3 linked regions of the Oryzias latipes genome follow. The protein of the gene in region 2 purifies or fractionates together with the protein of the main gene of each other region. This does not show direct contact. Links are inferred from orthologs where the notes say so. Each region holds a gene or a part of one and is shown on either strand. Other genes may lie near its edges. The genes, in order: calcipressin-3, serine/threonine-protein phosphatase 2B catalytic subunit gamma isoform and rcan1.

What was found.
Region 1: the proteins of serine/threonine-protein phosphatase 2B catalytic subunit gamma isoform (region 2) and calcipressin-3 purify together in Homo sapiens (affinity purification with mass spectrometry; 3 studies listed by BioGRID and IntAct, counting the BioPlex papers as one, with this or other methods). This does not show direct contact. The link is inferred for Oryzias latipes from reciprocal best matches to the Homo sapiens genes PPP3CC and RCAN3.
Region 3: the proteins of serine/threonine-protein phosphatase 2B catalytic subunit gamma isoform (region 2) and rcan1 purify together in Homo sapiens (affinity purification with mass spectrometry; 3 studies listed by BioGRID and IntAct, counting the BioPlex papers as one, with this or other methods). This does not show direct contact. The link is inferred for Oryzias latipes from reciprocal best matches to the Homo sapiens genes PPP3CC and RCAN1.

The regions. Positions count from the first base shown.
Region 1 is NC_019880.2:9,450,235-9,456,743, forward strand, and holds the start of calcipressin-3, read left to right. Parts: upstream 1-2,805; 5' UTR 2,806-2,833; coding exon 2,834-3,043; intron 3,044-6,509.
Region 2 is NC_019870.2:652,517-659,171, reverse strand, and holds the start of serine/threonine-protein phosphatase 2B catalytic subunit gamma isoform, read right to left. Parts: upstream 4,559-6,655; 5' UTR 4,030-4,558; coding exon 3,978-4,029; intron 674-3,977; coding exon 476-673; intron 1-475. UniProt on the Homo sapiens protein: Calcium-dependent, calmodulin-stimulated protein phosphatase which plays an essential role in the transduction of intracellular Ca(2+)-mediated signals. Dephosphorylates and activates transcription factor NFATC1.
Region 3 is NC_019860.2:1,242,296-1,249,097, forward strand, and holds the start of rcan1 (calcipressin-1), read right to left. Parts: upstream 3,907-6,802; 5' UTR 3,724-3,906; exon of another isoform or gene 3,677-3,723; intron 3,603-3,676; 5' UTR 3,588-3,602; coding exon 3,459-3,587; intron 1-3,458. Other genes in the region: trichohyalin, read left to right, coding at 6,069-6,802. UniProt on the Homo sapiens protein: Inhibits calcineurin-dependent transcriptional responses by binding to the catalytic domain of calcineurin A. Could play a role during central nervous system development.

The sequences.
Region 1 (6,509 bases), on a different chromosome or scaffold from region 2:
AGGGTTCTGTTGTGCATCTTTTACACTAAATATGCTTTATTTAGTTAAGTAGGTAGTTAATAAATTGGACAGGTTAATTATTTTAAGACATAACAGATGTTTCATTGTATATTTAAACTAAAATTTGATTGGTAAATGCATAGTGTGAATAATAAATTAAGTCATTAGAAGTTTTATATGTTGTATATGGTGCTTCTAACACCATCTTAGCAAGCTAAATATGAGGCCTTATATAACAGAGGGGATTTAAGCCCCCCCGCCTGTTTTTGCTGAGATTTCTTGAATTCATTTGAGAAGTGGAGCTCTGAAGTTTTGTGAATGGAAAGGGCTGAAACTTGTGTGAATAACCCCACGTCTTACTACGTTGGATAAGTTATAAATGTGTAAAAAAAAAATGATTAAAGATAATCAGAAGTACAAAATGTCATAAATTATTTAATTTATCACTTAAACTTAAAAAACCTAGATTTACTGTTACTGGTATTTTGAAAATGAAGCGTAGCTCATTTGGGACCAAAATAAATAAACTGATTTTTCATGTCATATAATGCAACCTATTTTTCCTCCAGTCATTGGAGATTTGAGTTAAACCTTCTAAATTAGCGTAAATAAAAATAACACATTTAAAGGTTTTTTTTTTTTTACATGTATTTAAAATCTTTTCCCATGATCTATGTGAAGAACTTTATCTTAAACTGTCAGTTGATTTTTTTCCCCATTTTATTTTTTAGTAAAGAAGACACAAAACTAGAAATCAGTGTAATTTTTTAAAAATCTAATAAGCATTCCATTTTAAATTTACGTAAAACCATATGGAAACATTTCCAGATTGCACCTAAAAGTAGTTAAATTGGGTGCAGAGTTTTCTCCGCTGTGGTTATGGAAGTATTGAAGCGCAACAGGTGCATCCGGGTTCGTGACACATTTGTTCAAATTAGATTAATAATTGTTGCGCAGTGAACGGAAACACCGGCGGGACTCGCACGTTAACTTTCGTGACTCACTAAGACGTTCCTGCCAAATAATAAGCCTCTTTGCCTCTCAGCGCTGTGTGCCACTTTGCTGCTTGATCGCCACCCATGTTGAGGCCCAGCATCCGCCCACTTGCTGCAATCTGATTGGTCGCTTCGAAGCTACTGGCGGCTTCTGATTGGTCTCACCTGCGTTGTCCTGACGCTGGAGCAGGCTGCGTTAGATAATCCGGAGAAAACAAACACCCAAGCATTTGTCCGCAAAAAATAAAATAAAAATAAATATGTAAAGACAAAAAGGTTTTTTTTCTCTCTCCAAAAAAATAATAATATATGTATATATGTATAAATATTTATATTTTTGTTAGTCCTCAATGGGGGTTTTTTCGGACGCTGACATAGTGAGGTGAGTGTTGGAGACACATTTGCATGTCATAAGGGAAATTATTACACAGTGGCATCGGATGTAACTGTGATTTACACTATGATTTTCACACTCTACTCCTGCATTTATATTTTCTGTAGCAATGAAACCCTTTTCTGACGTGGAGGAAAATGTTTTATTAGACATTTGCTCCAGTTCTGGCCGCGATATTGGAAAGGCAATACGTAATAGGTTACTTACGGCAGCTAAATGAAGATACCTGTCATCCGTCAAGATTTTTTCTTGTCATTTCACAGCGGATATTTAGTTGTTTTGTCCCTTTTTATTGCTCATTCTTTCTTTTATGTGCTCTTAATACTATAGTGAATCAAACATAGACTTATTTGTTACTTTAATTCGCTTGATTTTTCAAACACAATGGGGCACTTCGTCGCTCCTAACGCTAGATGGCCCTCTAACATTTGTATAAAATTGCTAAGGATGCCAAAGTGCCTTTAATCTCAAAGTATGTGGGTCAAATTTTATATTTACATTGTTTTGCTAAAGCAGTAACAATAATTTGAATTATTGTTATGTGAGTATGTCAAATTGAATGCATATATGTTTATGATTTATTTAGATTTGATTATTTATTTATTTTGTTAGAAACTTAGAAAATTTGCAATATAGAATTTGAACTTCTTTTTAACCTCTGGTGATCGTAAAACAAAAAAGAAAGAAGTACAAAGTCTGTAAAATAATTGCTAAAAGTTCCATTCATATCTTTAAAAACATGCTAAATATGTATTAACATAAAATATGAAATCCCTTTATTGTCACTGTCCACATGTGCAATGCGATTAAAAGCAGACACCATATTAGTACAAAAACATATCAATATTACAATATAATACTATAAAAAATATCTATTATGTGCAAAAATAATGTGTGCAAAATATAAACAAATGCGCTCTGTGCATCAAGTCATTAAGTAAGTAAATTGTATATTGCAGATAAAAAGATAAAAGCCTTTTGACAGATGGTAAATAAGAAAAGTATGTGTTTGTGTGTGTGTGTGCATATATTTATACATACACACACATACAGTAGCCTTGACCCAGAATTGTATCAGGACATCCGGGAGTTTAAAATAGTTGATGTCTTTACTTAAATATTCACATTTTTGTAGCTTAAATATGAAACCATAAAGTCCTATTTCCCTAAATGAGGAAAATAACAGCTTTTGTAAAGGAACATTTTGTAAAAAGCAAGAAAAATGAGATTGCGCAAAAAAGGAGTAAAAGTACCTGTATTCTTTGTTTTGAAGGTTTTCTAGATTCTTCTTCTCCGTGATTTGATGCATTTACTTGCATTAAGAAACTTTTATTTGCATGATTGTGTTGATCAGTACATCTTCCTCACTTTCCACTTCAATTCTAATCTCTTGATGCTTCCATCTTTAGTTCTCTGTGGTCCCCACCTGTTTAAAAGATCAAGGATGCTGCGTGACACTTCTAAAGGGTGGAGCAGTGGCTCAGGAGCCTACAGTAGTGATCCTGAAGAGGATGAGGATGAGGAAGAAGACATGGTGTTTGGGGAGAGCGATCAGGATGGCACGGCAGAGGAGATGATGGACCTGAGTGACCTTCCCTCTGCACTCTTTGCATGCAGTGTCCACGAGGCCGTATTCAGCCAGGAAACGCACAGGGTGAGATGCTGCAAACTCCCTTCCTTGTCCATATGTTTGCGGCATGTGTGTTTGCCTGAGTCAACGCATCACTTCTGAGTCATCTTGGTGCATGTGCCAGACCATCCAAGAATCAGATCATAGCAACAGGAGGCGAGATATCATCCGCAGCTCCAGCTCCTGCGCGTGGACGTTCAGCCACAGTTCAAGCTGCGATGCTGATCGCTCCGCAGCTAAAACCCTCACGCATTCGCACCCGACGCAGCTGTTGTCTGTTTACCAGAGAACATGAATGCAGGTCAGCAGATTACAGCATGACTTGCACAGAATCACAAGCTTCGGATCGTGTGTCTATGCATATCATCCAGTCAGTATATTGCTTATCGCGTTTGCCAAGCCTCTTGGAACAGTGCATATATGTTGCAGACGGGGGGAGAGAGTAACAGATTGGAGCCCATGAGTGCACATTCTGCACTAAAACCCCTAAAGGGTGTGTTGAGAATTCATCACAGCTGGTTATGTACAAATGCTTTGGATCATTGAATATTGTTTGCTGGAGGAAGATGAAAAATAGTTATCATTTTTCCTTTTAATCTACTTATAGTCTCCTGTGGTCTTTCCAGCTGGCATCTTTACATCCCCTTCTTTTTCTCTGAGACTTTGCCTCTTTTTACAGACTTCCTTTTTCAGTCTCCTCACCCTCTGTTTTGCTTCTCGATTGATCTTTTCTATGTATGGAAGTGCTGAACTGCAGAGGCTAAATATGGAGCATGAACAAAATCCCCTTGAAATGAATCAGCCCCACTTTTGGATGTTGTACACCCGTTGCTGTGAGCGGATGAGTCCACCCCCTCCCCTCCACTCGGTTTTTGCCTCCTAACTTCATTACCATTCACGCTTCGGCTTTTAAGTGGAAATGGCTCCCACACAATCTTAAGTTTGAACACGTCAATGAATCATTCCCAGTGTTTCTCTGAAACAAGCTGTGCCAAAAATAGGAATGTCGACATTTAATGCTTTGATCCAAATGTGATTGCAGGAGGAAAGTATAAAGTCTGAGATTAAAAGCAAAGTGCTTCAGATTTTTTTCTTTTTATGTTTACTTTCTCGTCCATCGAGAATCTGACACATTTGCCCCCCCCCAACATTATTTTTTTTATTTTTTTTCCGAATCCTTACCGAAGAACAGGGACATCGCATCCTACTTTTTAGTGTCTTTGGGCTCTTGGCATGCTCGAAACACTGACATTACTTTCTGTGTCTGGTTTCAAAGGCTTGGCTGCTGGAGGATGAGCTTTTTTCTGCTTTCATTCTTCTCCACTGAGAGGCGAATGGACAAATGTGCAGAGAGAGAGGGAGGGAGACCAGAGCCCTTACGTGTATGAGAAGCTTTTAGCACACTGCAAAATCCTTTAGCTTCTTCTTGCATAAGTGAAGCATCAGTGAAACCTAGTGGCACACTTTTATCTGCAACATTCTTTTCACTTTGCTTGCCTCAAGCGAAAATGGAGACATGGTTTAAAGTTTTCATTACTTCTTCTGGAAGCTTAGCTTTAGCCTGATAACAGAAATTAACATAATCATTATTAGTTACTTAATGATACAATCTACTAATAAATTACAGCTCATTTAGCCGGCTGAATAGGAGCAACATTATTCCAGTCCAGTGCTTCAAGTCCCACTCCGATCATCTATTGATTAATTTTAAGTGTGTTCCAGTTGATCTTTTTTTATTATGGTTATGCTATTTTTAGCCAAAATAAAAAAAAACTGTCTTTGTAGGACTCAATTACAGCAGACTTCCTACTAGCTTACACCCCCATTCTAACATTGGTGGTGCAACAAAATTGGCAAGCAATATACAGTTTTGAGCCAAATGCCAGTTCGGATGAGGAAAGCAAAGATGTGTATGGATCTAGTCGTGTACAAGTGGATGTATGAGAATGAATACATCCATTCTGACTATCCAGGGTGTACCCCGCCTTTTCACCAACAGGCTCAGGCTACCCCATGACTCCACAAGGGATATAGAGGATTTAGAAAATGGATGGATTTGTAAGTTTATTTTCATTTTTGGAAAAACAAAAACAGATTTTCGGGATAATTTTGGATGTTTGGTTAATAATGTTTTCACTTTTTATTATTATGTCCCTGTCCTTAGTAGTCGTGCAGTCAGCTCCTCACATACGAATCATTGTGGGATTCTGTATCATCCATACAAAACATGTTTCCAAAGAGGGGAGGGGTTGGGAGTCAAAGTGGTTTCTCTGCTTGCAGAGACAAAGGTCAGAGAAGCCATTATAATTTGTTCCACATAGTGTGTATGAAGCCTAATCAGCTCTGAGTAACGCTTTCATTGGGGGTCCTGCTGCTGTCTGACTGAGTTTTTCTTAACCAACCATCAATACAATAAAGCAGCTGCAAGCGTAGCAACATCGCATTTTATTTTTTTGTTGTGGGGAAAAAAAAAGTTTTGTCCAGCTCCTTATCTCTAATGGTAAAGATTGAAAGTTGGTAATACTGACTCATTTTAATTTATCAGTCTTTTATTTTTAAACTTTTGATTGCATGTAGACTTTACGTTTTTATAGGAATTCACTGTCGCAGTTCCTCATCTAATCTGCGTCATTTCCAGCTGCTCAAAGCAGCTGTTTTCAACAGTCAGGCTCAGGTGGTCTGACGCTGCACAACCTGCTCAGTATCAAACGAAGGGCAAACAAAGTTAGTGTTTAGCCAGTGAGCATAGTGGAACAAATAACAGCTCAGGATTATTCAACTCTGACCTTTTAGTGTTCCATGAATTAAAAAGCACCTTCTTTTAGGTACAAATAACACTGAAAAAAAAGGGATTTACAAAACTCCAAATAGATAGATAGATAGATAGATAGATAGATAGATAGATAGATAGATAGATAGATAGATAGATAGATAGATAGATAGATAGATAGATAGATAGATAGATAGATAGATAGATAGATAGATAGATAGATAGATAGATAGATAGAATTTATTTTAGACTCATAGTCCAATCAATAAAAAGGAGTACACAGACCCACTACATTAAAAAAGCACAGTGTCAAGTATACACAAGTTAAGAAGCAGTATATGAAAAATTGCAATAGTTAATAAAAAATACATTAATTAAAATAAATAAGAATAAGATGAAAAATAAAAACATTACTTATACATACCACACCATAAACATAATTTACAAGGACAAATAAAAAGACAGTCCCCACAGTGTTTCCACAAATTTGGCTGGAAGCGTTTGGCAATAAATGTAATGTTACTTGTATATATATATATTTTTTAAAATCACAAAATTTAGTCCATTGTGAAAACAAAAAACAGGAAAATGCATCCATCTGAGAGCCAAAACAATGGGGAAAAATGCTATAGGACTTAAATGAATTTTAAACAATTGGAAGTAACTTATGAGGTAGTAAAGACCCACTCTGATCATCTTTTAAACTCTTTTTAAAGCATT
Region 2 (6,655 bases):
AAATCCAGATCAACTTGATTTAAAAAAAAACTTTTTTGTGGAAATGATCAAAAATGGCTGAGAAATAAGGACTCAAAGACGACTTTGTGTTCATGGAAACTCTGAAAACCATCTGAAGCAGCTGTGATTAAAACACTTTCATTGAGTCGGAATTCCTTCTCTTCTCACTATAGACCACGTTTGCCATGTTCTAGTACTATCTGGATCTACAATTCCTAAATCCAGAGCCCTAGAAATTTCCCAGAAGTCTCTGCATAAAACCGTGTGCATCGATGCTCCCTAGATTGGCGAATATAGACCACAATGCATTGCGTCGGAAAATTGTTTACCAAATAAATGCATTCAGATGTATTTATTAATAAATCAACGTTGAATAATAACACTCATATTAATCAGATTTTAACTTTGTGAAATGTAAACCTTTGGGTTCTAACATGGCCGTGCAGGTGGGGGTGGGGTGGGGTGTGAGGGTCACCTGTGATGGGAGCCTCCACCTCCAGCATGCACTTCTCCTGCCGCAGGATGGCCGCCCCCTCGTTGATGATCCGCAGGGCCGTCTCCTCCTCCAGGCGCCCCTCCTTCACCAGGTGGGCCTTCAGCACCTCCAGGCTGGGCCTCCCGTCCACGTACAGGTCTTTGACGGACAGGCGGGTGCCGGGGGGGTACGGCACCGCTAAAGACAGGGAGACAGCAGCAGCTCTGATGAGGGGGGGGGGGGGGGGACGCAGCATGACACAAACCAGCAAGCAGCTTTTTGACAACGGAAAGGTTGGTGGTTCAATTTCCAACAGTCACATGTCCTTGGGCAACACACTGAAGCCCAAACTGGTCAACTGCATGCCCCCCCCCCCCCCCGTGTGGGGGGGTTATGAGGAGCCTCAGTCCCAGCAGGATCAGAGTCCCTGTACAGCGTTGAGCAGGGGTCAGCAACGAGGGGGGGCAGACAGCGGCACACGCCATTTTATTTCTCTATGGACGTCTATGGGTTTTTGCAGGTACTTCCTGTTTGGAACGCCACGGGGGTGGAGTCACAATGGTTAACACCAACTCTTCCTCTCTGTGTAATGGGGGGGGCTGTGCCCTGGAGGAAATACCAGCAGCTCCTCCTCCTCCTCCACAAACTGGCCCAACAGGAACCCAAAGCTCCCGCTGACTCAGGCTTTCAACCTGCATGAACAAACATGCCGCTCCCCCTCCCTCTGGGGCAGGACCCCCCCTCACACACTAACTACTTTGACAGTTTGAAAAACGTCTGCAGACATTTCTGACAGTCAGACTGGACTTCCTGTCAGATCCTTTTATTTTGAAAAACAGATTTTCTCTTAACCTTTCCCTGTAAAGGTTAAGAGAAACAGCCTATTTGTACATGCGTCTGTGCATGTGTGCATCCGTGCATGTGGGTCCGTGCATGTGCGCGTCCGTGCATGTGCGAACGTGCATGTGCGCGTCCGTGCATGTGCGAACGTGCATGTGCGTGTCCATGCATGTGCGTCCATGCAAGTGCGTCCGTGCATGTGCGTGTCCGTGCATGTGCGAACGAGCATGTGCGAACGAGCATGTGCGTACGTGCACGTGTGTCCAGAGACACACATGTGCATGTGACACACGGAGCAAACAGCTGTTTCCTGAGGAGCTTCTTCAACCTGCGTGACGCTGACACCTGTGGGAGGAGCCTGACATCTCTGCAGGTGTTTCGGGGGGAGGGGGGTGTCGCTAACAGACTCTGTTCCTTCACAAAACTTAATCAGGTCAGAACCAGAACCCCCCCCCCCCCCCCCCCCATGAGCAGCGAGTGATCCACTTTAGCTGAAACCAAACCAGGTCACATTCAGATCGTACCATCTCTGCAGCAGAGGAGGAGGGTTCTCCAGCCTCTGACAGGGAGGAGGAAGAACTCAGACTGAAACCAGGTGGGCAACAAGACCAGAACCAAGATGGAACCCCCCCTACCCAGAGAGTGGTAGAAAAATGAAGGTCCAGAGGAGAGGGATCAAGATGATGTTCACTGCAGTCTCCTAACGCCACGAACGCCCCCCCTTCAGAGCTTCACCCTTCAGATGACCCAAGAGTATAACAACCCCCCCCCCCCCGCAAATCTATTTCTCAAAACATGCTGGTTCTGAAAAAGTGTCTACATAAAGTGGGCGGAGCATCAAATATGCTCTTATTGATGATCAACAGAGTCACTAAGTGACTTCACACCGACGGACTCGATCCAGAACCAGGAGGAAGAACTTCTTCTGATCATCACAGGTTCTGAAAAGAACAGCTAAATCCAGCTGCTGTCCAGTCTGACCCGGTAGTGGTTCTGAAGGAGATCCAGTTCCTGCTGAGCTAGACTTTCCCCAGAGCATTGCAGCTCTTCTGCATGTCAGTCTTCTTCTGGACCCATGGGTCCAGTTTCCTTACAAAGGACCTCCACCACCTCTACTACTTTGGCAGCCCATACCATGAGCTTTTGCCGCCGTGCCCGTTAAAGTGCGAGTCAAACGTCTCCTCGTGTTCAGAAGCATCATAGTTTCTGGTCTCCAGGACTTTGTTCTGACTCGTCTTCTGAGAAGTGTCGTGTTTGGTCTTTACGCTGCCACGGACGTTCAGATGTGCTGAGGCGTGCAGACACATGCAGAGTGCGCAGACACCAGCATGCATGGATAGCCTGCAGTCAACGGCAGATGCAGCTCTGGGTTCTGTGTTTCTGCCCTGTCCCACTTGGGCCAAAAGTTTATCCAGTTTTAGCATCAACATCCCCCCCCCCCCCTTCTCCTGAGCAGATACAATGACAATGAAGGCGATTCATCCATTCATTCATCCATTCCTGGTTTGCAGTTTTCTTAGAACGTTAAAACACTCGCTGCATTATTTAGACTAATGACAAGTTTCATAATTCATGGTTTATACCCCCCCCCCAGCAGCTTCACCCTACAGGCTGTCTGACTTTCACACTGGGGGGTGTGGTGGGGTGTGGTCCTGATGTTGGGCTCGCTGCGGAGCGGCATCTCTCTCATCGCTGGCCCGATGACCCAGACCCGCTCCGGCCCGCCCGTCCTCAGGCTCAACTCCGTCACTCATGACTGATGACCATCCTGAAGCTGCCAGAACAGATCAGTCACTGATCCACAGCCACGGCCAGAGGCCAGAGGCATTCTGGGAGATCCCGCCGTCACTCAGCATCATCATCATCAGCTCCTAAACCAGACAGCCGCCAACGTGAACCAAGACCTCCAGAGAACGCCATGACAGACCACGGCGAAGTCCGAAGTCCACAACTCCCCTCGATGGAGATTTAGAACCCAAATACGACCAGAACGTGGGACGTTCTGAGGCTCAGGAGAACCGCTTGTGCATCCAAAGGTTTCCTAGAAACCCTGCAGGTCTGGGCAGGTGTGCCCCGCCTCACCTGTACAGGTTCGCTGACCCCCCCCCCCCCCCCCGCGCGGTTGTCATGGAAACAGGTGGAGCAGCAGCCACAGTCCTGCACAGGTGAGCCGGTCACGGGCGGTCCATGACCTCCTGAGGGATGCAGCTTTAATGCCGCGGCGCTCTCCCGCAGATAAGCCTCTCTAACCCGCTAAACCCATCAAACGCAGACGCCCGACCTGTCAACACCCAAACACCACGCCCTGACCCCGCGTGCGGCAGAGCTCTGGACCCGCACGTCCGGAACCGTCTGTTCAGGAACGAGCCCGGGACTCGACCTGCTCCCTAAGAAATTCGGTATATAAGAGCCGGTACCGTCTCTCCCCCTGAGCCCGCCTGTCCTGGAGCTTCCAGACGGCGACAGACATGACCCCCCCCCCCCCCCCCGGACCAAAAGGCAGCTGTACGGGGACCGGTTCGGTCAGCCAACCTGCCGGACCGACAGAGTGAACCGTCCGTCTGCGGGACTCGAGAGTCCGCTGTCCCGCACTTAGCCCGCAGTTAGCCCCCGCTGACTTCCTGCTCCCGCAGAAAAATGTCAAAAACCGACAGGAACTCACCTTTAATGGGTCTTTCTACGGTGGACAGCTTGTTCTGGTCTTTAGCCGACATCTTCCTGCTAAGCGAGCAGCGGCCCGAACTGGAACTGGGTTCCGAACCAAACTCTAAATTTCGAACTAGCTAGCAGCTAGCTGGAGCGGGCTAGCCGCGCGAGCTCACGGCGCGGCTCGCGGCAGCACAGAACACGCCCGGGCTCGGCTTCCAGGCGGACCCGGACTAAAACCCGGACCGGGACGGTACGGGGGTGTTCTCGTCCGGCAGAAGCGAGCGGTGCCCAGCGCCGTGCTACACGGGGCGGGAATCCCGAGCCGCCGTCACTCTAAACGGGCTGAATCGATGGAGAAGGAAGCGGCCCGGAGAGCGCCGACGTCAGGCTCCAGCACGCGCGCCGCGCCGCGCCTCAGATCATAGCCCGCCTTGATCCCGTTAGTATCGGGCGCCGCGCATCTGTTTCGGGCCGCTGCCTTTCGGATTCGTGTCTGTCTCTAATGGTGATCCGATGTGCCGTTCAGACCCGCTGTCGGATTACAATAATCCGCCGCAAGCGGATTTCCTACAACATGATTCTGAGCAGGTGGTTGTGGGTAATGTAGTGTTGTGGTTCGACGCTTCCGCATCTTTTCGTGAGCTGCTGCGGGGTCCAAAAAAAAACACAAGCGGCGCGAGATTTTAAGATACAACAAAACACTTTAAAAGATGTATTTTTTCTCAGTTTTGTTACACAGAAACTTTAGAAAACGTATTTTTCTGCACATATGGAGAACAGGCAGGATGGAGAAATGCATGTATAGATTATATGATATTAAATTCATGGCATTTCAGAGATTTTTCCAGGAGGACTCGCAGAAATGATCGTTGCCTTCAGGACCACCGTGACCTCTGCGTGGGGCATCAGCTCATTTTGGGGAGCAGAACTCTGCGCGACACCACCAGTTCAGACAGCGTCGCAACAGGCGCATGCGCAGCCTCCTGACCAATCAGAGAGCCGGTTCCAGTCCAGGATGTGGTTTCCGTTTCTCCGCTCCAAAGCCCGCAGAGTCACGCAAATGTGAAACGGAATCAGAGAAGAAAAGGATTTCAGAAAGGTTTTCATCAAAATCCCGAGATGAAAAGTTTTTCTAACCAAGTTCAAGAAGGATGTGGTTCAGTTCCCCTTTTAGACACGCATTTCCAAATCTATTTCAGACCAGAATATTTGTTATGCAAATAATAAGGAAATTCATATTTTAAAATCTATTTTACATGTAGAATCACAAGCAGTTTGCATTGTTTCTGTGTGTTGGATTAAAAGTCACGATGAATAAATGTTTGTTGTACTCATTTTTAATTTTTACTTTGACGTTTTAAATGGAGTCGTGGTTCTGGTTCTGATGGACTGGACCATAAAGACCCGCGGTGGGGTCCAGCTCCCTCTGGTGGTTGCTATTCGAGCTACACGAACGCAACATTTGAGTTTTCAGATGTTTGACCCTTCCGAGGTCATCCAGACTGATCAGTGTGTCACATAACATCATCAGAACAAAGTCCAGGGTTCTGAAGGCCTGGTCCAGTTCTCTGTGGTCCTCTTTATTGTCTGGAGCGTGAATGAAGGCCTCACACTGAGATCTAAACAACTGCTGCTTGTCAGCCAGAGGTCAGACACAGAGGTCAGAGGTCAGACACAGAGGTCAGGAGAGGTTCACCAACCTGGATTCTCTCTGAGTCTGTTTCCTGGAGGAAACGTCCAGCAGCTTCCAGGAAGAAGACTAAGGCCGCATTTCCACTGCATGGTTCAAGTGACCCAATTCCGATTTTTTCCTCTTATGTGGCACAGATGGGATATGACCGGTGAACGTGGAAGCAGGACAAAAGCGCATGGATTCAGATTTTCTCAGATCGGATTCAGGCCTCATTCATATGTGGAAATAAATCGGATATGAATCGGATACGTGCGTCTGCGTGTGCCATGTAAGCAGACAAATCGGATATTCCCCAGTGAATGCGAGTCGTAGGTCAGTGACGTCAACGCAGGACACCACCCACTGAGATCACATGACTTATTAAGGTGCTTTTGTGCTGATGTTGCTGTTGGAGGACAGCTGGAGCCCCATCAGCTGTTACCTTTCAGCCTCAGGCTTCGTTATTTCCGGTCGGGTCCCGGTCGGGACGCAGACGGTAACTAATCAAACGGGACACCGTTGCTCTGGAACAGCTAGAAGCCGTTTGTTTCTTTGCTTGGATCAAACTGTTAGTACAAACTCAGAGAGAGACCATAAGCCGGCCCAGCATCCCTCCTTGTTCCTCTCCCACACATCCCCTCTCCTGCCTCATCCTGGAGCGCCACAGGCAACGCCTCCTTCCGTCGCTGCGTTGCCTCCATGACAACCACAGTCACACAAAAACACAACAAAAAGGGGAGGGTTTCGCCATGCTAAACGTTTGCCGTTTGGACCAACACGCATCTTCTAAATGTGCTTTTCTTACTGTTATGATTATTATTAAGGGCCTGCTCGCTCATAATGTTTTAAATCCGTGCGGTCAGTGCTCAGGTCTGTGGAAGGCGGAAATGCTGCTATGTAGTCCTCAGAACGTCTACGTTTGATAGTCTCAGCATTGTGTAGTGTAAATGCAAATATCGGATACGGGTCATCAAAAAAATCGGATATAGTCAGAAAAAATCAAATTTGGGCATCAAGAC
Region 3 (6,802 bases), on a different chromosome or scaffold from region 2:
GGTGACTGAGAGACATGGAACCAGACTTGGATCCACTGTAGGAGGTCTTCATTCACTTGCTTCAGAGTTTGAAGGGATCTACTGTCGCTGGGTGGTAACTGACCACAAACTCCAGTAAATGTCCGTCTCTTCCAAAGAGTTAGCATTAACCCATAATGCTAACGCTTTGCCTGAGATCTGGCTTGAAGGGCAGAAACGAGCTTTGAAGCGATTCTGGAGGGTATCTGTCAGCATTTAGGTGACTCTCAGGTAACACGAGATGATTAATAGAAGCCAGTCAATGGGGCTGCAATGAATCTCTAAATTCTGGGATTGTCGCAATTTGTTTCAGAAAAAACGCGGACGATTTTTTTGTGACAATCAAGATTCCTGATCCACAATCTTTATAAATATAGTAGAGTATGGTGGACAATACCAGTCAGGCAATGCAATCATTGCTCTAAAAAGCAGAATTATGAGGGATTTTAAGTATATTCGCTACTGCCCCTGTCAACCAGTGTGCTGCTACACATTATTGTGCTGTGGGAAATTGCCCTCATTAACTGATCTAAAAACATTTTCCATCTCCAGGAAATCAGCTCTGTGTTCATCCAAACAGGCCCTGATAAAACACTGAGTAGTTAGGAATATGAAAGGTCTTAAAATACTTTTTTCTTTGTGTTTATTTGATTCTATTAAAGAAAGATAAGAATCACGGTACTGCGATTTAGCTGTAGCTTCAGCTGTTTTAGGAAAAGTCCCGCCCCTTTAACTGTCTCCACCAATCATTCTTGAAGGCTGAATCACACGTCATCAGTCTGACCAATCAGAAGTGATTAAAGTCCTCGCTTCCTTGATCCAATTTGGCTCGTAAAGTCGCTCAGTTCTAACAAAAATACCAGCTAACGCTCGTCTTTAGCGGTGTAGCTTTCCACAGAATCCGGTATCTGACTGTGTAAAAAGTGAACAAAACAAAGAAGCTCAGAGACATTAGCCTTTCTGCCCTTTTGCAGCTGTTTGCACTACATCTCCCATGATGCATTGGGTTAAAGTGACAGCATCTCAGCGCACAATGAACCTTTGTTGTTAAACGTCTTGACACCACAACGAACGCACATCCAACAGTTTTTAAATCTTCTAACTTAACTTTTATTACATCTTTTAGAAAAACAGCTGCAGCTTCCAGCTTTTTCTGCCACAATAATTATCACAAAAATGCATGTGAGATTGTGGAGGGGCTGTAGATCAATAAAGACTTTGAGTTTCTCCAATTTAAAAAAAAAACTTTTTGGATGCTGGTGTGCCGCAGGACTTTTGTCAAGGTTAAAGTGTGCCGTGGCTCAGAAAAGGTTGAAAAACAGTTGCTTAGACCATCCTTCCGGTAAGAAAAAACTCCTGGGAAAAAAAAAGGGATTTGTAAAATAAAGGACAGGCGATGTACCAGAACTCTCAGAGAAGAATGAGTTTATCTAACGCTAACACTACATGTTTTAATAGTCCAGCAGATGAGCTTCATCCAGATGGAGTTGGGGGATGGCTGGGGGTGCAAGACAAGGCAGAGGCAGGATCCATGGCCAAGTAAGTCTACTCAATGCTAAAGCGATCCTCTCACAGCAGAATCCCATGGTCCTGCTGATACCAACCCCTCGTGGAAAAGGAGCAGCTTTAAAGACGAACAACAAATAAAAAGACAAAAAAACAAAGTTGTGCCGTGGATTTTCTTAATGCTGGTCTACAGCCCTGCAGGCACGATCCGCTTCACCCGCCAGTCAACACCTAAACCACGCGGTGTCCTCGAGTCACTCCGCTTTTTCCATTCAACCAAATAAAAACACCCCCATCAGTGAGTTCAGGCCTGCACCAGTCATCAAAAACCGGTAAAGCTCCCATTTCTTTTTATTTGATTTTCCAATTTTTAATGTGATGCCATAAATAAAGTTACAAAAACAAGCTGTACTGTTATGGCTAAACCAAACGTCAGCCTCCAGATCTAATAAAAGATGCACCTTTATTTTGAAAATAAGATAAAAATGAAGGAACAGTGATGGAAAGCTTTGCAGCACAACTAAAGTGTTCCATAACAGTCTGTATGATGCTTCAGCTCCTTTTTCCAATGTTTTGTTTACTCAATGTAATTATTACAGACCAAAAAGGAGCTTCATGAATGAAGAGGAGCGGCTAAAGACGAACGTTACAAAAAGCTAAAATCAAATAAATATGATGTTTGAGCAAAACAAGACATTTATAGCTAAATCACGTTTTTTTTTTTTTTTGCTTTAAAACTACATTTATTTTGGAAATACGACTTTTCCATCACGTTCTGAAAAACGGAAATGAACGACATTCGGCAAAAACAAACACTGAAAAGCAGAGGTAGGTGGACGGCAGTGCGTAACACCTGAATACGTTTTTCTGTTGGTAAGCAACACCTGAATACGTTTTTCTGTTGGTAAGCATCATGGATCAAAGCAGGCGGGACGGACGGAAAAACCAAAGATCTGCACGTCTACCTTCCCTTTCCTACTGTTTCAGAAAGGCGGAGTCAGAACGTCAGTCTGATCACGTAAACACAGGAAAAGACAACGTATGCAGTGTGAACAGTCAGAAATAATCTGCTCGGTTTGGTTTTTCACACCACTGCAAGAATTTACAGCGGGAAATCAAACAAAAAATAAAGAGGGCACGTTTTGTGGGTAGAGTCCACAAACCGACAGAACTTTGTGTAGCAACGCGTGAACGCAGGTGTATCGAACACGGAAGCTGGAAACACAAATTTACATCGAGATTTCATTGAAAGTCACTTGAACATGTGTTACCAGGCCTGAAGTGAACATAGCTAAAAGCTTTGATTCCCACTAGATGGGCAAATATGAAATACCTTTTTTCCAAGTAAAGAAAAATACTTTAATTTATTTTTTTTAATCATCAGAACACAATAAACAGTCTTCGTTATTGCTTTTATTTATTGTGTTTGGGTCAAAATTGACCCCTTTACACAGTTTGAAAACAGGTCAATTTGGACCCAAACACATTATAAAGGTTGAGAGGTTTAACTTTGTGAAAACAGTGCTGTCATATTTGCCATTAAAAACTATAAAGATATCATCGGTAGTCCATCCGAATTGTTTTAAAATCTAGAGCACACATAGTCCTGCACTGTAGAGGGTTTTACTAGTGAGGGAGGAGGGAATTCAGACACAGCCCTCATCAATATGGGCATTTTACTGCAACAATTTATAAACCCACTGTGTTCTGATGATAAAAACATTCATGGTTAAATTAAAAAAAATACATTTGTGTTCAAACGCAATGCATTGTGGGCTATATTTGCATGTCTCGTAAGGATGAATGCATCTCGGCGGAATGGCTCTATCTAGCGGGGAACCCGCTGAACTGAACCTCCCGGCTTTGTTTCTCCCGGGTCAGGCCGGCGCCAGCGCGGTCAGAACCGGCTAAAAACCCCGCCTCGCGGCGCTTACCTTCACCCCTCCGTAGGCGAACAGGTCCGGCGGGACTTTACAGGCGATCAGGGCGTCCGGCAGGTCGGTGAAGCGGACTTCCACCGCGGCCTCCTCCTTCTTGTCGTCTGCCACCTTCGCCTGCTGCATTCCGGCGCTCTGGACCTGAGAACACGGAAGACCCCGAGAGTCACGGCGCGCGCACCGACGAACCTGCTTCGCGTGGGTGCAGAACTCACCCGCGAGGAGGCGCGGAAGAATCCGAACCGAGTCAGTCTAAACGAACCTGCGCGAGAACAGACGGCGGGGCCGAACCAGCCCCTCCTCTTCCGTCTGTGTTGGAGCGCGTGCAGCTGCCTGGAGGTCAGCTGGATTTGCTGCAAGCTAGCTGGTCTGTGACGGATTAATTTAAACCGGCGTTAACCTGTTTTCATCCACCATGGAGGACTCCGGTTATAAACTTCCGGTTCTGCTCCTTCTTGACTTTCAATTGGCAAACGGGGCGGGGCTATATCGCCACCTGTCGATCTGGAGTATGAACTGCAGTGCTGTGTTTTAGCAAAGAAATGTTGTTGTTTTTTAAGATTAAAAACGATTTTTTCTGATTTACATATAAAAGTATGTTTAAAGGGAAATCTATGTAAAAAGGTGTGTATTCTTAAGGCAGATCTCATCTGTTCACAAATCTACGCAACAACTTGTAAACATTTAATTCCAAACATATTTTTTACTCAAAGGTCTATAACCAGGTTAGCATTTTCTCTATGACACTTTTTAAGGTGTTAAAGCACAAGGGCATCATGGAAAGAATCTTAGGTAGCTGCTAAACCTCACATAACCACTGTAAAGCCAAAAACCTGAACTATGTAATCAAAACACTAAGCTTCAGTGGAGAAAAAAGGGAAAAAATACAAATATCAATAGAAAAAGTGGCTTTTTTTGTCACAACAAGACACTGATTGGTCACTTTCCAAATGTTTAAGTCCATCAACCAAACACCTCATGATTTACTTTTACTAATCTACTTTTTTCTCATAGTAGTGGAATTTTCATTTGTTTCATCTCCATAGCAACCATTTGATTTTTTTATTGGCCCAGAGGTAACAAGCGTGTCTATGTAATTTTTCAGAAGAATCAGCAAAAATAAACTTTGGGATTTCCTTGGCAACTGAGGTTTTTTATCGGGAATGAATCTGCCTCCAGAGATGAGGTGGAACGTCAACCAACAACCTCCTCCTGAACACGTCAAAGACCAAAGAAATGATAATAGACCACAGGAGGAAGAAAACGGACATACTGCAACTCTTCATCAGCGAGGACTGTGTTGAGGAGAGCCTGACCTGCAGTACAAACACCAGTGAGCTGCTGAAAAAGGCCCAGCAGAGACTGCATTTCCTGAGGTTACAAAGGAAGAATAACATTAACAAAAGACTGCTGGTGTCAATTCAGAAACCACTATAGAAACTTCGAAAACCAGCATTTTTTCCTGGCAAGTTAAAAGGCGACTGTACTACATGTACATTTTTTTAGGGGAAAATTCAAGATGGCTGGCTCTTACCATGGTCAAAGGTAAATGATTATCATTGCAGATGGGGAATTCCTCCACTACTCACTACTTAGTGGACCATATGCTGCGTTCGCCATTTTGTAGAGCTGTCCGAATCTACAATTTCACAATTGAAATTTCCCAGAAGTCTCTGCGAAAAACCAGCCTATATTTTAGCAAAATGTGAAAATGGCCAAATTCTACATTTCGCCCACCAAGCCGTAGGTCCTGCAGCCGTCCTCCCATCTTTACTGGATTTAACAATATTTTTTGGCTCGATTCATTTTTTTAAAAGATTTTTATCCTGCTGTGATGTCATCATCTGTTGGGGGGGGAGGGTGTCGTTCACTATGTTAAAAATTCCTTTTCCCTCCAGGAATGAGGTGTCTAGATCTCTATTGAAGTCTATAGGATTTTTATGGGTACTAGAAAGTGACGGGGGAGGGGTCGCTCAGTCCAGTTCTCATATAGTCAATGGTTCATGTTGTTCATTAAAGGAGTGATCAAATCTCGATAAGGTTTAACAGAAAAAGGGGCTCATGGCGTGACGCATCGGTAGAGCTGCTCCTTCCTGGTGGTTGGAACCGGGCCAGATGGTCCTGAACTCCTGCCGGTGTTTTCCTCAGTGAAGTGAGAGTGAAGGCGGTGTTCATTCCAGGGCGGCAGAGGGGTTTAAGCCTCTGGTCATGTGGGGATCAGCCGTCACCTAATCCCCTCAGGAGGGAGAGAAGGAGCCAGAGAGGAGGAAAGTCGGCGTGATGCCTTCACGGAAATAACCGGACAATTCTTATTTTTGACTTATTTTTAATGATTTTCACATCGTAGTTTGCTTTTCGTAGCATTTGAGACATCCCAAAGAGTGGAACATTGACTTTTTTTCTCCTTTAGTACTTTCTGCTCATGAAAAACTGCATTTCCCCTCCAGATTTTTAAACTTTTTTTTGCTTTGATTTCTATTTATTCACACCTTGGATTCTTTTCACTATGCTTCCTTAAACCTTGTGTGGACCACCGGCCTGATTCCCTAAACCTGCCATCCTGGACTCTGGTTCCCTGCTGGTATTTGGCTTCCTCCCTCTGCCCTCATGGCTCAGTCCAGCTCCACCACAAACCCAGACGTGTCAAACAGAGCGCTCGAACACAGCCCGCTGTCCATCTGCTCAGACCTGGACGCCCAGGAGGACGTGGAGGATGAGGAGGTGGAGCTGGCCGAGGAGGTGGGTGAGGACGTCCTGATGATGGGCGAAGCTGAGGGTGGAGCTGAAGACCAGAACGGTATAGAAATGTCCCTGCTGTCAAACGTAAGAAGAAAGACGGAGATGGAAACAGCTGAGGAGGAGGAGAGGGTTGTGGAAGTGACAGAATGTCCTGACCTTTTTGTATCAGTCGAGGCTGATGGAGTAGACCTCCAAATCAGTGGTGACCACGAAGCACCACAAAGGGTGGAGTTTGAGGAGAAAAAACTGAATGAAGAAGAAAGTAACTGTTCCTCTGAAGACAGGCCTGCAGGGATATCTGATCACCTTCAGGACGACACTGCAGGGTTTGAAGGAAACACCTCAGAGGATAAACATCTGTTTGCAGCTGTGAACCTCACCAAAACCCCACACGTCACCTGGGAGACTCCAGTCGACCAGGAACCGGCAGAGAACTGTCAGGGAAGCACCACAACCTGCAGAGCGATGCAGGACGAAGCTGTCCAGGAGAACGTTCCAGAAGCCGCTAATTCAAGGTTAGAACTTCCAGAAGTGACACCTGGAAATCCAGAGCCGCAGCGGTTAGTGGCGGGTTCTGAGCAAGCACATGAGTCCAGAGGAGG